2 linked regions of the Kluyveromyces lactis genome follow. The protein of the gene in region 2 purifies or fractionates together with the protein of the main gene of each other region. This does not show direct contact. Links are inferred from orthologs where the notes say so. Each region holds a gene or a part of one and is shown on either strand. Other genes may lie near its edges.

What was found.
Region 1: the proteins of QCR2 (region 2) and QCR10 purify together in Saccharomyces cerevisiae (affinity purification with western blotting; 4 studies listed by BioGRID, with this or other methods). This does not show direct contact. The link is inferred for Kluyveromyces lactis from reciprocal best matches to the Saccharomyces cerevisiae genes QCR2 and QCR10.

Annotation. Positions count from the first base shown.
Region 1 is NC_006041.1:1,221,910-1,223,891, forward strand, and holds QCR10 (ubiquinol--cytochrome-c reductase subunit 10), read right to left. Parts: upstream 1,085-1,982; coding exon 1,076-1,084; intron 810-1,075; coding exon 582-809; downstream 1-581. Other genes in the region: bifunctional hydroxyacyl-CoA dehydrogenase/enoyl-CoA hydratase FOX2, read left to right, coding at 1-190; KLLA0_E13861g (glycosyltransferase family 15 protein), read right to left, coding at 1,380-1,982.
Region 2 is NC_006038.1:323,014-326,205, reverse strand, and holds QCR2 (ubiquinol--cytochrome-c reductase subunit 2), read right to left. Parts: upstream 1,671-3,192; coding exon 588-1,670; downstream 1-587. Other genes in the region: RPC82 (DNA-directed RNA polymerase III subunit C82), read left to right, coding at 2,557-3,192. UniProt on the Saccharomyces cerevisiae protein: Component of the ubiquinol-cytochrome c oxidoreductase, a multisubunit transmembrane complex that is part of the mitochondrial electron transport chain which drives oxidative phosphorylation.

The sequences.
Region 1 (1,982 bases), on a different chromosome or scaffold from region 2:
ATTTGAAAAGTATGGTCCATTCGATGAATTAAAGGCAAGATTCACTAATGTTGTTTTCCCTGGAGACAGATTAAAGGTAAAAGCATGGAAGAAGAACGATGTTGTCATTTTCCAAACTACTGATTTGAATACTGGTAAGATCGTATTGGACAATTCTGCCATTAAATTGATCGGTAAATCAAAGTTATAATTCTGGCTTTGTGTGTCAGAGAGCGTAAGCTGTAATGATTATGTCCCAACGTATATTAGTTTGTAGCAAATAATGAATAACGACCAATTCCAATCCGTTTTCTTTTGACATAAAACAATTTATATCTCTTTACTTATATACGTTTAGTAAAAGGATGGGTCCTATTTATATGAATAATGTGTAATTGAAGTGCTTTTTCGAAAGTAACGTTCTTTCGAGGGTTTATTTCATAAAATAAATAATAATAATGGTGCTCAGAAGAATATTTTAATTCCTTACTTCTAGGCTTTGGGATTGAGAATATGCTTCCTCTCGTTAAGCATATCTAGAGAGAAAGCAACCTGCAATGACGAAAGTTCAAAAAAATATCATACGTATAACGCATAATCAATTATTGAGGACTGTCTTCTGGAGCAACAACCTTAACCCAGTGGTCACCGAAGTATGGGATCTTTCTGTAGAAGGCATCTTGGAAAGTTGGCCAGCCATCGGTGAACACGAATAAACCGAAAGTAGAAGCACCACCCCAAAGAGCCAAGTTTGGAGCGTAACTCTTCAAGTTTTCAAAAGTGATTCTACCGAAGTGAGCAGCAGTCTTTGCTGATAGTTTAGAAACGTACTGATGAAGATAATTGTTTAGGGAAATATCCCTTGACACATGAAATGTTAGTAAAAAAACAGTCTTCAAAGGGCTTATATTTGCCCAAGATACATCAGGTATATGAAAGATCCTTCCTAAAGGTACTCATAACCTTACCTTTAAGGTCTGGAGATATCGGTATACCTAAAAAAATCTGGATAATTCAGTTATGAGTTTTGATCTACTCCATCTCTAAAGTCTCTTTCAAAACATTAACCACATTCCAGACACATGTCTACACATACAGCAACCATTTTGGAATAAGTATACTGGTGTTTTTCAGCTCTAAAATAGATATCTGCAACGTTGACCAAAAGCACATCCCATAGTAAAGGTATAATGCTCCAGTTAATTGAATTGAAGCTTTTTTATCTTTTTTATCATATAGTGTTGATGTCATTGTGAACGACGTGGACAGTGAGATGATTGGTTGTAGGTCACGTGCAAATAGGAAATTTGGGTACCATGATTACATATCTGTATCGGTTAACTAGTAGAACAAGGATAAGGACAGACACACTTGGCAATCAGGGACTGTTAATTATCCAATTATTTGAGTTCTGTTGTCATAGGCTGTGTCCTGTCCATATTCTTATTTTCTGGTAATAAATATGAGTAGTGTTTCTTCACTTGTGATAAGGTATCTGGCCTCTGCAGTCCATTCACATCAAAGAACTTACTGACGCAACTCCAACGATGCCACGTGAAATCTTTTGAGGCTTGGCAATTGCATCTCAATATTTCTTTCAACGGGTTATCTCTTGGACAATCTTGATTTGGATTGTGTGCGTACCCTGTATCGGGTACAAAATGGATTTGGTCAACGTCTAGTAACAAACTAAATGCAAGCGTATGAACCGGAGCATCGCCCCAACGTTCGTAGAAAAACCCACCAAGTGAGTCCAAATATTGGAAATAAGATTCGTACCCATAACTCGGGTCTTTGAATATCTTTAAATGGGCAATCTCAAAGTTAGTCCAAAAATGACATCCGTTATACGTGGCTCCGTCATCGTCCGAGATGAATTTGAAGTTGTTTCGTTTGCTGACAAGTTCAGGGTGCATTTCGAAAAAATACTTATACGTATGTTCCCATAACGTCGGGATCGTCTTTTGGTCTTCACCCATGGCCATGGCAAACCCGTATAATTT
Region 2 (3,192 bases):
TTGCTAGTTCTCAATAATATGTTAACTGATATTTGTTCAGAGATATATACTTCAATAAATAAGTGATAAGTTTCTAAGATGATATGTGAAAATAAAAATAGGTTCGGCAAGAAGACACACTACGTATTAAACCAACGTTCTTGCAATATCACCACAACCTCTGTTTGATTGTTTTTCTTAAGAGCAGTGATGGGGATTGTATGAATCAACAGAACTGTTGAATTTGATCAGTGGCTTCTGCACATTTCAAAAGATTAAGATATTGACGGGTTCTCTTTTAACATCACCAGTTTTTCCAAAGGTTAAAGGTGTTCTTTTGAATCTTAGAGAGTTTTGTTTTTGAATTTTATTGGTTTCTTTTAGGTTGCAATGTTTCCAAAAGCCACGAAAGGTAAAAGATAATAAAAAATATGTACAATAGAAATGTAATATCGTTTCTAAACATTTCAGTGATGTGATTCTGTCATCTCTCATGAATATGTGTGTTTGTTTGTTGTTTTTTTTTCAGTTTTAAAGTACTATGTGTGTAACTTTGGCTAGTAGGAGAAAGGTTAAAATCTGTGAGTTATTTTTAACTGTGATGAAATTTACAATTCATCAGCGAAAGGTAGCTTAGCGACGTTACCTACAGCGGCGTAAGAGAATTTGTCCAACTTGACATTCTTGACATTAGAGACATCGATTGGAGCGTTTTCCAAAGATAATTGCAAGGCAGTGTATTCCTTAGCAGCTGAAATGTCGACATCCTTCTTCAAGGTATCAACGACCTTCTTTATGTTTTCAGCAACGACAGAAGCATCCTCACCCTTGACGTATAAAGAGAACAAGCCGGCATTAGCGTACTTGTCTAACTTAGCTGAGTCAATTAATGGAGACAATTCGGACAAAGCAGAGGTTAGGTACTTAGCCAAGACTTCGTAGGTAGCGAACTGTTCCTTAGTAACTGGAACAGCGATAGCGGCAACGGAGGCACCTGGAGCACTTAATCTGGCTTCACCGGAGAAGAACTTTGGTTGAGCTTGAGCAGCCAACTTGGAGCCAGTTGGTAAAGAACCAATCAAAGAGTCGTTGACAAATCTCTTCAAGTCAGCTTCGTTGACACCTTGACCAACAATTTCAATGTTTTCCTTGGTGTAGACCTTGTTGGCATAAGCCTTGATATCATCCAAGGTGACCTTCTCGACACCTCTGTATAGAACTGTGTTACCTAAGTCCTTTCTGAAAGAGACATTGTAAAGTAAGTCTTCGGCCTTGTTGATTGGGTTAGTTTCAGAAACGGAAATGTCGTACTTAGCAGCTGGCAAGACAGATTCTGGTAATTCGTGGGGTCTGAAACTGGTCTTGTACAAAACGTTACCCAAAGCGTTAACGAAGTATGGAAGATCTTCCTTCAAGAAAGTAGCCTTCAAAGTGATGTATTCTCTGTCAACACTGGATTCGAACTTACCACCCAACAATTCACTTTCTCTAACCAATCTCAAAGCAGACTTGTTACCGGTGTTATGGAAGTTGAATCTGGACAAAAGGTGGGCAATACCTTCTTTGTCGGCGTAACGAGAACCACCGTGAACCTTAACAGCCAAAGTGGATAGTTTACCGGAACCGTCTTTAGCGGAAATACTGAATTTTCTAGCAGTTTGCTGGGCAAATTGTAATCTACTGGACAACATCTTTATATTATATGTTTATGGGCTTTTTAATTTTGGGAGTCAGAATATCAATCAATATCAATATCAATTATGCGTTAATCAAAAGGTCTTCCTCTACTTTTCCTTTAATGTCCAAACTCAAATAATATTTACTCACACACAAAATAAGTATCGAAACAGAGCAAAAAAAGTACACTGACAGAGTAACGAGTAAAACAAAGTAATCAAAATAGTATATCAATCACAAATCTTTACAAAACCTGTAATCAAAACCAATCTTCAAACAAAAAGCTCTAAACTTTGAAGTAGAATTGTCATATTTTGTTATAAATTTTTCAAGAACCTATTGAATAAAGCTATATGCGATAAAATCCAATAACTAACAAAAAAAAAAAAAATTGAAAAAAAAAAGATATTTCGAGATGTGAAGACTGATCTCTACAGAGGAATCAGAGAAGAAGCGAGCTGATTCTGTAGAAAGGAGAAGCGTGCTTAGACCATCTTGGAGTCACAGTAAGAAGGGGATATCGGGTTTTAGCGGAACGTACTGGGAGTGAGAGGGAACAGACAGGAATCGCGTAATGCACTGTGAAAGGGTATTGGTAAACCATTTGAAGAAAAAATGGTTGGACACGGTTCTTAGAAATGATTGGTTCGTGAGTGATGAGATGTCACGTGACACAGAAACACAAAAGTCACGTGGTTGTGACCACGTGACTTACAATAATGTTGCCTGTTTCTTTCGATCTTCTTGAAAGACCCATCCATTCGTATTGAAAGAAAAAAAAAATCTATCAATTGAATTGATCTCATCTCATCTCATCGCATACATGCATGACTACTGCAACAAGGTGGCTCGACTGTAGAAAAGGTAGGAAAATAAACAATTGTTATTGCAAGCACTGACATGAGTGCTGCCCAAGCTGCCCTGATCCCCGATGCGGCTGTTCCAAATGGTGGTGCAAGTGTTGTATCAGCCGCAGAACCATCCACATCCACATCACCAGAACCAATCGATATCTCTTCATTAGAGCAGAGAACTCTTAACCCAGATTCGTTTTTATACTCTGAACTTGCCAGATCCCATCTTGGTGAAAGAGCCAGTACTGTTCTATCCGTGTTGGTCAACAAAGGAAGACTCTCCACGAGAGAAATTCATTCTTTCATACCAGAACTTTCGTTGTCCAGTATTAAAACCGTTTTGGTCAGTTTGATTCAATTAAGATGCGTACAATATTTGGAAGAAACCTCACTCTCTGGTCGTAAGACCCTTTATTACTACTTTAACGAAGAAGGTTTGTTCCTTATGTTATATGCGGGTGACATCAGCGACAGAATTGTTCAATATTTCAACCAGGATGAGGAGCAACACTTGGTCAACATCGCACAACAAATTATTCATAACGTTCTCGCCCTTGGATCACTTACCGTAAAAGATTATTTAGCGTCTGAATCCAATTCCAATGATACTGATATTTTCAATATCCACCAAGCTTTCGTCAGATTGGCTGATCTGGAATTTTTGGTTCCCTTGCAAGGGATC